Tamandua tetradactyla: one gene and its partners. The protein of the gene in region 2 interacts with the protein of the main gene of each other region in a pairwise test. Links are inferred from orthologs where the notes say so. Each region holds a gene or a part of one and is shown on either strand. Other genes may lie near its edges.

Region 1 (3,745 bases), on a different chromosome or scaffold from region 2:
AGATAGATAGACTCTAACACTTCAACTTCAGAGAGAAGGACCCTAGAGAGACAGGGGGAGACTGGCTTAACACTACAGCTCTCCCTGCTGAAGCCTGCTAAGGCCAATAAAGGCTGGCTTTATAGAAAAAAGTGGCAATCCATTATATGCACTCCCTTGCTATTTTTTAAAGATAAAAATAAAGGAAATAAGCTGCCTTAAGTTGTCAAGGTGCAAGGTAGGAAGCATGGAAATCAGAAGCTGTGAGATCACTTCTAAGACCAATGAAGGCTGGCTTTATAGGAAAAAATGACAATCCGTTATATGTATTCCCTTGCTATTTTTTAAGGATAAAAATAAAGGAAATAAGCTGCATTAAGTTGTCAAGATGCAAGGTAGGAAGCATGGAAATCAGAATCTGTGAGATCATTTCTGCCAACAGTTGAGGCACAGAGGTTTAATACCTCAATCTCAAGCCTTAATAGAAGACTAACTGGGACCAATGCAAGGTTTTTTGACTGCCCATTTAAGTTTCTTTCCAGTGCTGGTTGTTCCTTAGCAGCCACCTCTCTGACCCAGAAACATGATGTCCATTCACAGCATCAAAGTAATCAATGCTACTCCTGGTTTTTCGCACGCCACTATTGAACACAGATCTCAGACAGTGCCCAAGCGCCTTCTCAAAGGAGATACCAATCTGAACAGGACCGTAGGTTTAGGTAGTATAAAGGCTATGTTGTAGTGGAAAAGTTATTAATAAGACTTGGGGTCAGTCATAGCTACAGATCACTCAGCTACATGATCTAGGTAGTTATTTATCTCTGTACACCGAGTTGCTCTGTTTACCTCATATGGATAATAACACCCAATCCTTAGGGTTACTGTTAGGATTGAAGGTGATTTGTGTATGCAAAGTGTCTAATAGAATCTGGGCCACAGAGTCTATGTCCTCTTTTTTTCCATTTCCCTTCTTTTTAAGGTGGAAGGATGTAGTCAGCAGAGAACTCTAGATATATTTATGACACTGGCTAGAAATAAGACGATATATATTTAATCTCAGAAACTGCAGAGTTATACAGCAACACTGAAGATGAGTGGTTGAAGTCCAGAGCTCTACCCAGGTAATACATGGAAAGATGCATGCATTTGTTTGCTTTTTCTTAAGTTATACTGTTTCCTCCTTACCAACAGCAGGACTGCTGTAATACGGCCTATATTTTAGTGGTCCTCAAGACTTTCTTTCCCAGTCTTAGGTGGAAATCCCAAAATATAAAATAGGTTAACAGTGGAGTTTTTTGGTTGACATGGGAATGGGAAGCTCAGAGCACCACAGGTTAGCTTCTATAGCTACTGCTGCCCTCTACATGGCTTCAGGTGTCTCCTCAGAGTCTTAATGTTCCAATGAACAATTTGAAAACCACTAACCCAGATAGTGTCAACAAAGGCCAGCAGTGACTGGGTTCCCTGAACCAATGAAATGCTGAGCTATGTAGTCTCATTCTGTGCACCCTTCAATACTTCACCCACCCTAGCTTTGACTTGAGCCGTGGATGGCCTGTATGGAGCAGGACTGTGAAATGCCCTAGTATTGTAAGATTTGTAGTCAGAAAAACCTGCATCCCTAGCTGTAAATATGTACATTTTGCAAATCACTTCATCTCTTATCTAATCTCCTCAGCTGCTTTACCTCAGAGTTATTAGTGAAAAGGAAGCATATGTATGTTACAAACCCATACTAATTCTCTCAAGGATTCTATGCAGTAGAGGCCACACCCACTTCTTTTTATAGCTGAAGATACTGACTCACAGAAGCTAGGTGATCAGCATTACAAAGCTAATAAAATGTGTAATAAACCCACACTGATCCTCCTTCCAAATTCAAGAGTCCTTCCAGGTTCTAGTCTCTTGTTAGGAATGCTTGCGATAAGGACTAGGAAAGATTGTGTAAGGTGTAAAGCTTTATTCAGACATACTCCTCATTAGTGCTGTAGGGGAAGGAGAGGTTAAGAAAGGCCTCGGCGGATATAAGCTGATCCAAAGGGAAGTGATACACGAGCCGTAGGGCACTGGCTCCCAGAGGTACAAGGGAGGTGCTGGGGAGTCTGATGAGCAGGCATCCCATGGACCCCTGAGCAAATGCAGTTCAAAAGGATGGACAGAATGGAGCCGGAAGGAAGAAGAAATCGAATCAGATGAGACCCGGCCCAGACCCAGTTTCCTCTTACCATGACCCATGCCCTCCACCCACCCGCTCCCCAGTCCAGACGCTCTCTTAGGGTGAGATGTCAGCTTCTGTGCTATCTCTCAGCCCTCGTTCTACTTCAGCAGCCCGCCGTAAGAACCCTCCGCGGCCACCGCTAAACCAGGCAGTCAGCCAATGCCCATTTCCCCAAAGTTACCAGTCCTCCTCCCCCGCAGCTGCCGACTCAGACACCGCCATATCTCCTCCAGTCCGCAGCCGGAACCGGAAATGTTCTTGGGGAGGTCGGGAGGCAGAAAGCTAAAGGGGGGGGGCGGGGACTAGAGACTTGAGAGGAGAACGTCTAGCGGCGTTTCTAGGCAACCGTAGACTCCGGGTCCTTAGTGGGGCCTGATGACCAAGAGAGATTCGGAAGTGCCCTAGGAAGTGCCTATGGGTAGGTCACTGTCTCGCCCATACCTCTGAACGCCGTGTCTTCCGAGACTCTATCTAGTGCTAGTGAGTAAAATTGCCAAGAGTGAGCGTCTAAAGAAACCGGCAGTGAGGGTGGAAAAGGATTATAAATCAGGCAAAGTACGTCGGCAGCTAGAGGGGGCGGGGCTGGAGGCCAGAGCTGGCGTCCCTCGGCTTAAGGGGCTTGAAGCTCCTGGGCTGGGGGTAAGAAAGGAGATTTCTTCTGCGCTGTGTGCGGGCATGGGGTTAGGAAGGGGGTGTTGGGGAGTTTGTGAGTGGCATGGAACCTAAGGGAGGTTGGGAGGGGATGGGAGTTGACTGCGGAGGGTCTAGTGGCGAGGCTGTGTCGAGTAGGGAGGGGTCAGGAGGTCGCGGTTTGGGACGGGTGGAGAGATCGGGTAGCCCAGCGTGGGTGGAAGGTTTGGTGGGCGTGGCTGGGTCGAGTGGGGCGGGGTCTGATGATCTCTGGAATAGGTGAGGGAGGGGCAAGGAGGCCTAAAAGATGGAGATCTAGGAGATGGTCCATTTGTCTTAAGACCTTGTCCTTCATCTTTCTGTCCATTCCACCCTCCCATGTATTTGAGGGCTGTATTATTGTGAAAGAGGAAAAGGCAGGACGGCTGAAGTTAACCCTTCTCCCATATCCCAGCTAGGCCTCGCAGATGTGTGGAACTGTTCCTGCAGCTGTGGTCTTTCACCACCATCTCTGCCTCCTTCCTTCTGAGGGATCCTGAAACCTTGTTATGGAGAAGTACCATGTGTTGGAGATGATTGGAGAAGGCTCTTTTGGGAGGGTGTACAAGGGTCGAAGAAAATACAGTGCTCAGGTGGTGAACCAAGAGGGATATCTTTTGGGTGGGATTCCTACCCCCAGACTCCAAGAGAGGGAGGATCAGTGGGGAAAAAAAGACCAGAAGAGAAGTATTCATACTGACCCATCTTCCTAAGGCATTGACTCATTTTGCGAGTCAATAGACTCTGCGTTTAGATTGTCTGGGTTCAGATCCCCACACCACCACATTCTAGCATTTGAACTGTGGACAAGTTATTTAATCTCTATTTCCTTACCTATAAAATGGGGATAAGAATCGTATGTAATTTATGGGGTTTAGA
Region 2 (3,745 bases):
GAAAACTCTTTTTAAAAACATATTTTCACCTCCTAAATGTTCTACCTTACTGATATGAGTTATTTGTTCCTTATGCAATTTGCGGAAAAAGCTCTATTCAAAAAAGATCATACATGCAACAGGTGAGGAGGAAGTGAGAGGGTAATAGAACTCACTGTGATACAGAGTTGTCCAGGCAGGTATTAGTAATTAACAAGAGGGATGACAGCTGTAGGGAGGGTGACAGATCAGTGATTAAGAGGACAAGTAATATGAAATCAGATTTGGGGGTCACTGTTAAAGGTAATGAGGATTCTTACAAACCTCAATAAGATATAGGAGAGGCAAACCACAGAAACTACATATGGACAATAATTAAAAGAGAAAAAGAAGAAGCCAGAGAGAAAGTAATGAGGGCTTCTAAGGCCCTTTTCTCAATTTTAAGAACACATAAAACAACCATGAAGGACACTTAAATTGCCTTCACTTGGGTGGCAGACCAAACCAAGCCGAGAAGGTTCAGAAAATAGGAAGCCTCCGGGGTGGGGGTGGGATGGGGGCGTGGGAAGAGTACCGTACCTCTTGGCGCTGGTGGAGAGGAGTTTGGAGTTTTTGCTCATGCTGACTTTACTCTCCTTCTTCTTGGGGGTGTTTGTTTCTTTCTCGGTTTGCTGGTTGGAGGACGAAGATGAGGAGGAGCTGGTGCTGGCCCTCGAATCGTCATCCGACATAGCGAACCCCCCCACCCCACCCCACAAACAGCCCCTATAGGGTGAGGGAAACAAAACAGAAACAAACCATACAGCCGGTGTAAATAAAGGAACTCGGGCGCTGTCAGGAGAGCACGGGCCAAGGAGTGCACCCCCGGGCGCCCACCGGCCTCCACTCGCTTTTCGAAGTCTCCAGCCGCATTAAGGCTTTTGCAAATCCGATACGGCGGGTTTGTTTATTTTTGGCTCCAGTCGGAGACGCGGTGGGAAAACGGTCTGCAGTAAAGCAAGCGGCCCCTCCCTCGCCCCCCGGGGCTCCCCTCGGGGCAGGGTGGGGAGAGGCCGAGTAGGCGGAGGAGCAGGACAGGGCGGGGGCACTGGGCGCTTCGGCCGGGCAGGGGGGAAGGTCCCGACGGCCGCTCGGCCTCGGGGCTGTTTTTGTCGGCTTTTCGAGGGTCGCGGGGGGCCGGGGGCCGGAGCGAGGTGCTGCGGCCAGGAGCGGAGTTTAGCGAGGTCGGGAAGAGAGGAGGGGCAGGGAGGAGTAAGAGAGGAAGCCGAAACGGGGGGACGGAGGCGGGGAGCTGGTGCCCGGGTGGGGGAAGGGAGAGGCCGGCGGGGGCAGGGGCGACGAGGCCCAAGCCCCCCCCCCCCGCCACGCGCTGCGCCCCGACGCCCCTCCCTGCTGGCCTGCCCCTGGGCCACCCCAGTCGGGCTCCAGGGCCGCGGCTGAGGGTCCCGAGCCCACGCCCGACCGCCACCCCTGGGGAGGTGGGGGTGGGGGGAAACTCGGCCTCCGCAGCGAAGGAATAACAATGAGTCCGCCCTCCCAGGAGGGCTAATCCCCGCGGGCCCCCACCCCAGGGGAAAACTGGGCTCCCCCAACTCCCCTCCCCCCGCTCCCGGCCCCCTCGGCGGCCAGTGGGGGGCTCCCGGGGCAGCGCTGACAGTTCGAGCCACGATGCCCCCCCCCGCCCCCGACGCGGGCTGCCCCCGCACCCCACGCGGCCTGGGGTCCCTACCCATCCCCCGCGGGCGGGCCCCGGACCCCTGGGGCTCCTGGGCCCCTCGCCGTCCCCCTCCAACCCCGTGCCCGGCGGTCCCGGCGGCGCGGGTCGGGAGAGGCGGCAAGGGGTGTCCCCGAGGCCCCGCGGCGCGGCCAGGGGGCGGCAGGCGGCGGGGGGATCCCCGTACCTCTCTTTGTGTCTGGCTCCTCCGTGCCGCCGCGGCGGCTGCTGCTGCGGCTGCGGCTGGGCCTGGCCACTCGTGTCTCTCTCGCTGGGAGAGAAGCGGAAGTGCAGCAACAGCAACTATTAAACAGGCAATGGCTTCCCCCAGCCACACACGCTCGCACACACACTCCTCCTCCTCCTCGCCCTCACCCCTCCCCCACACGGCCCAGTCCCACCCACCCGCGCTCCCCTCCCCCCTGCACACCTCGGGGTGGGGGACACGAGGAGGACACCGGGGACCCCGGAAAATCCCGGCCCCCTCGGTCCACACGACTCCCACCCCGGCGCCTCCTCCGGACACCCGGGAAGGGGGCTAAGGGTGTGAATTTTCCCTGAAGTGGTTTGGGGAACTGGATCCTGAAAGCCAGTCCGAAATGGGGGCGCAGGGAGCTACTGGAACTGAATGCATATGGGGACACTAGAGAGGAAGTTTTTTCCAATGAAGGCTTTGGCAGATTGGTGGAAAAGATGGTAATCTGGTGGCAAGGACTTTGGACTAGAGAATGCAGCGGGAACTCCTCCTAAAAAGTGATCAGCTTAAAGGGAAAAAAGAAAACCCCATAGAAGGGGTTTTCCTTTGGGCTAACACTTGCTTCTCCCTGTGGCAAATTACTTGCTAAGAGTTTAGGCACGCACGCCTTTGAGAAAAAAATCCCAAACTGGGAGTTTTCTGTTCAGGGCACGAGGAACATGATATTTAAAATTGAGGATTCTTCCAGTTTTTTTTTTTTTTTAATAGAAATCAATGTGACTTTTTTTTAATGATACAAAGGATTTCATGACAGGTAAAACCAAAGTGTGACAGGTTTGCAAATGCAAGAAATCACTGAGAATAAGCCAGGTACTTAGACTAGATTGATAATTTTTGGTGTTAACCTACATTAGATAGAAAGTTTGATTTTGGGAAATTAGATGCAAAGTTCTGGGGTCCCTTGTACCTCCTCAGCCTCAACTTTAAATGTTATTCAAATAATAATAATATTTTTAGAAAAATCACTTAGTAATTTTTCTGCATTAATCCTTACTTTGCGTTTTTACCAAGACTATTTTTTTAGTATTAAACCATCAAATTACTGTTTAGTTTCTCACCTATTTGCCATTTCAATTGAAGGGAACTGAAGAGATGTCTTCCATCTAAATAACAACAAACAGTGCTGTGCAAGGTCTTATACATGAAGTAGACAGCCCAGTCCAGTTTTCCAGGGGCCACTCTGAATTACTTCATTCAAATTGCCATCATTTTCCATGGCAACAGTGGCTTCACTCACCACAGGACACCACAACAAAATGTAGAAACCCATGGCATAGGAATCAGGAAAACAAGCATTCTCATTACCCAGCTAATTTACTTCTTCTAGCCTTCAACCTGAAACTCCAACTTTATCAAGATTCATAAAGCAATAAGGTATGCTTCTTGCTCAATCCTTACCAGGAAACCTTTATCTACCAAGAATTGTCATAGAATCTAGGAGTCCAGAAACTGAAAGAGACTTTGTAGGTCATCATTTCAGTCTCCTACTCCAGACAGAGCTATCCCTTAACCACCCTAAGGCATATACTAGATTTGAAAACGTTTTCCAGAGATAACCTTTCTCAGAGTTTGGTTTCAGGAGTCCGGGTAGAGCATATAAAAAAGAATGACATTCATGCTGTTTGGATTTGAAAGCAAACAAAAAAATCTTGAAAATAAGTTGTATACTTTTTGTACTTCTAATGAAAACGATATAAACCAAGAGAAAACAATCAGCAAACAGATTAAATAAACTCAGTTTGGGTAAGGAAAATAACATAAATGCAGTTATTAAAATATAGACTCCCTGTTATGAA
Region 3 (3,745 bases), on a different chromosome or scaffold from region 2:
AAAAAGAGGAAGCAACTCAAATGACCATCAACAGATGAATGGGTAAATAAAATGTGGTATGTACACACAATGGAATATTATTCAGCCATAAAAGGAATCTCTCATACACGCTACAACATGGATGAATCTCGAAGACATCAGATTGAATAAAACATGTCAGACACAAAAGACAACTATTATATGATCTCACTTATATGAAAACTCCTAGAAAAAGCACATTTCATAGAGTCAGATAGTAGATTACAGGCTACCAGAGGGTAGGGTTGGGAGAATTATTGCTTAATGAGCACAGAGGTGAAGACAAAACTGGGATAATTTATGTTGGTGATGGTGGCACAATACTGTGAATGTAATCCATACTACTGAATTGTACACATGAAATTGTTTAAATACAGAAATTCTGAATTGTATGTAAGTTACAATAAAAAGTTAAAAAAAAAAAAAGATGCCTAAAACTGATCAAATGCCTAAAAGTGCCAAAGGCATCCTGCCTTACATTGCATTCAGGGCAGGGTCTCATACAGGTCAGAGACTTCCCACTGATACCTGGAGGACTGTTTAGAGATTAAAATACCTTCACAATCCAAAAGTCACTTTCAAGAGTCACTCTAAATCAGTCACTATTTCCCTCAAAAATTATTTCACAAATTCAAGTTTACAGAATTGAAAACAAAAACAAATTCAGACTATTTCCAGTAAAAAAAGGGATGCAAAAAGTCTGCCCTATTTCACAATAGCTAAAACACGATCCAAAAAATATAGCTTCCATAAAGTATCCTGAAGGGCAGAAGCAATTTTTATCCTAAATATCTAAATTTTCTCAACTCTCCCAAAGCAATCTGAATGTGTAACTTATTCACTTCGACTTGCCAATCAGCAGATAGTGGTTCTACACCCTTTTTCAAGCAATTTTCTAGACACCTAACCTGGGTTTTCAGGTTAGCTGAGCAAAAGACCTGTTTTCCTCCAGGAGCTCCTGCCACAGCCCGGGAAACCCTCCTCCAACCTTTTGCCCAGAAGTTCAGAAGATGAATTCACTCAGGTTCTCTGTATCCTCCTCTTCCCCTGTCATGTGTCAATAGCCAGGCAAGAAAATCCCACCTTGCCAGGCTCTCTGGTATGAAAAGATGCAGATTCATGGGAAGAGCAAACACTTAGCATGGAGGGGAAGAAAAAAAGATGGAGGGATGTGAGAGCCATTGAGCAGAGCTTACTGCATGCTACACGGGTGACCAGAGCCAGGTCCCGCAAAGCCTCAGAGGGAGGCTCCCTGGATGGAGCCCTCAATACAGCAGGCCACACCTGTCTCTGCCAGAAGCTCACCGGCTGCTCCACATTAAACAAATCAAACAGATCTCCAGCAAAACTGGGCACCCTCTCTCCCAGGAAGGGTGAGAGCCCTAATGCAAACACCAGTTGCCCCCCCAATTATATTTCTTTTCACACCCTTTGCTTTGTTTAAAAGACACTGCTTGGTCAAAGTGGATCCTTTTTTCTGTTAATGGCGAGGTAGACACGATGCTGCAGTGCTAGAGACACCCAAGCTGACTTCCTCCCAGCCAGACAAGACCTCTTCTCTGAGGATTCTGATACCAATAAATGGGACCTCGGGAGGCAGGTTTCACTCTGCCCTACCACAAGTGAACAAACGCCTCAAGTCCTAAAACGCCTGGCTCCGAGCTCGGAAGCCTCCTTTCTGGATCCCTCGGGATCGGAACCAGGGGAAAGCAGACAGATTCAGGTCGCGCGCTCCATATCCAAACCTCTGCACGCGCGTGAAGGTTTGGGGCGCCTCGGCGCGCCCTCCCTTGTTCTCCACCCTCCGAAGCCTCCACCACCCGTGGACTCACCACTGTGCGAGCTGAACCACCTAGGTGCGATGTGCAGAGGTAGAGCATCCGCCAGCGAGGCTCGGGAGCCCAGGTACAGCATCCCGTCTCTATGGTGACCGCCGCCCGTCTCTTGGTAACCATTGCCATGGGCATAGGTGGAATCCGACGCAGACCCTCCGCCGCTGGGCGCCCTCTCTGAGTCGCCGGTCCCCCGGGAGGCGGGGGTGTAGAGGCCAAAGGGCACCCCTCCGGCCGTGCTGGGGTCCATGCCCATGCCCGCCACCGAGCTGACCGAGCGGCTGCGCAGCCCCATGGCCCCGCCGCCCGTCCGGTAGTGCCCAAAGTGGGGCGCCCCTCCCGGCGGGGGCACGGCGCTGTCATCGGTGGAGACCCCCGGAAAGGGGCCCCGGGAGCGGGCCGCCGTGCTCTGCTTGCCCCCCATGCTCGCCCGGGCCCCGATGGGGAGGGAACCTGGAGGCCGAGACCCTCCCTCACTTCTCAGCAGCGGGGAGAGGGGTGGGCGAGCATAAAGGGGGAGGGAGTAAAAAAGGAGAGCGGGAGGGAAAAAGGGAAAAAAGAAAAAGAAGGAAAAAAAAAAAAGGGAAAACCCGCGGGTGGAAGAGGCAAGCGGGCGGGGATCCCAAACTAAGAATTTAAAACGATCCAAGGCAAACGCATGTTTCCCCTCAAGGTCCAAAGAGGCGCAGTCCGGCGGGGACTCTGAACGCCACAGGCCGCCCCCGGGCTCCCGAAAGTCGCGGGAGCCGCGGGGAGCGAGGGAAGGAGGCGCAGGAGGAGGCCGCCCGCCCGAGAGGAGGCGGCAGAGGAGAGCTGGGGGCACCCGGCGCGTCCCCCGCCTCAGGACGCTGCGACCGTGGACGGCGGCCCAGACCCCTCCAGGCCTCGGGTGAGCTGCGGCGCTGGGCGGCCAGGCGGGGCTCGGGAAGCCGCCGTCGTGTCGCGTCGCGATCTCGCTCCAGCCGCCGCCAGCCGGGCCAGCCGCGCCGCCCAGCTCGGTCCCGGGCTGCGCTCGCCGGCGCTCCTCGCCGCCGCGGAGACAATGGAGGGCGGCAGAGCGCAGGCGCGGCCCGCGCCCCCGCCCCCACCCCCCCCCCCGTCGGGTTAACCCCTTCGCTGCCCCTGCGCCGCCCCGGGCCGCTGACGGCCCTGAGGCCGCCACCTAGCCTCCTACCCCAGGTCGGCCTGTGACCTGCGTGATCTAAGGCACTGGGCGTCAAAAACAGAAGCAAGACGTCTCTTCAACGGAAGCACTCTTTAAGTCCCAGAATGTGGCCAGTTTTTCCTGGGAAATCAAATGTGGTGGTGGTTGTGGGGCGGGGTGCATGGAAAAGGGCGGTGATGGTTTAAGGGGCTGAAAAGGAAACCCAAGAAGAAATTAAAATTACCCAATACGCTTACCTGGCTCTGAGGGTCAATGGTCAAGCTCCCCTCCTGGCAAAAATTTGCCCCCACAGCACCCTCTGGTGGACATGCTGTCCATTCTTTCTGAGCTTCCCCATCCCCTTATCCACGCTCCAAGGACCATATGCATCAAGAAGCTTAGCATTTTAGGCTGAGGAAGTTTTGGGGTGAACAGCGCACTAGGACACTTGTGGTTCCCAGCCTTTGCGGACACTAGTTAGATCAGAAAGTCTGGTTTGGGCTTAAGCAAATGGGTATATTACTTCGCTAAAACGTTATTTTCAAAATCATTGGGAGCACGAAATAAGCTGAAATAGAATAATGCTGCTACAAGTGGTTTGGGAAACTCTGTAGTCCCACGCAGGATCCTGTTTTGTTTACCCTGTGTCTTAGCGTGCACCACAGGGCCTGGGGCACAGTAGATACTCAATAAACGTTTCTTGGCCAAACTTTGATTTTGCATCTGAGAGGTACATTTCCACCTCAGTCCT

Evidence for each region.
Region 1: the proteins of UBE2E1 (region 2) and RNF25 interact in binary tests that used the Homo sapiens proteins (3 or more experiments, as listed by UniProt). The link is inferred for Tamandua tetradactyla from reciprocal best matches to the Homo sapiens genes UBE2E1 and RNF25.
Region 3: the proteins of UBE2E1 (region 2) and ZNRF1 interact in binary tests that used the Homo sapiens proteins (3 or more experiments, as listed by UniProt). The link is inferred for Tamandua tetradactyla from reciprocal best matches to the Homo sapiens genes UBE2E1 and ZNRF1.

Annotation. Positions count from the first base shown.
Region 1 is NC_135329.1:194,207,377-194,211,121, forward strand, and holds the start of RNF25 (E3 ubiquitin-protein ligase RNF25), read right to left. Parts: upstream 2,528-3,745; 5' UTR 2,420-2,527; coding exon 2,379-2,419; intron 43-2,378; coding exon 1-42. Other genes in the region: STK36 (serine/threonine-protein kinase 36), read left to right, coding at 3,376-3,459. UniProt on the Homo sapiens protein: E3 ubiquitin-protein ligase that plays a key role in the RNF14-RNF25 translation quality control pathway, a pathway that takes place when a ribosome has stalled during translation, and which promotes ubiquitination and degradation of translation factors on stalled ribosomes.
Region 2 is NC_135341.1:64,541,248-64,544,992, forward strand, and holds the start of UBE2E1 (ubiquitin-conjugating enzyme E2 E1), read right to left. Parts: upstream 2,232-3,745; 5' UTR 2,124-2,231; intron 1,986-2,123; exon of another isoform or gene 1,965-1,985; 5' UTR 1,881-1,964; intron 897-1,880; exon of another isoform or gene 781-896; coding exon of another isoform or gene 778-780; intron 745-777; 5' UTR 711-744; coding exon 559-710; intron 499-558; exon of another isoform or gene 1-498. UniProt on the Homo sapiens protein: Accepts ubiquitin from the E1 complex and catalyzes its covalent attachment to other proteins. Catalyzes the covalent attachment of ISG15 to other proteins. Mediates the selective degradation of short-lived and abnormal proteins.
Region 3 is NC_135342.1:69,506,197-69,509,941, reverse strand, and holds the start of ZNRF1 (E3 ubiquitin-protein ligase ZNRF1), read right to left. Parts: upstream 2,819-3,745; 5' UTR 2,275-2,818; coding exon 1,851-2,274; intron 1-1,850. UniProt on the Homo sapiens protein: E3 ubiquitin-protein ligase that plays a role in different processes including cell differentiation, receptor recycling or regulation of inflammation. Mediates the ubiquitination of AKT1 and GLUL, thereby playing a role in neuron cells differentiation.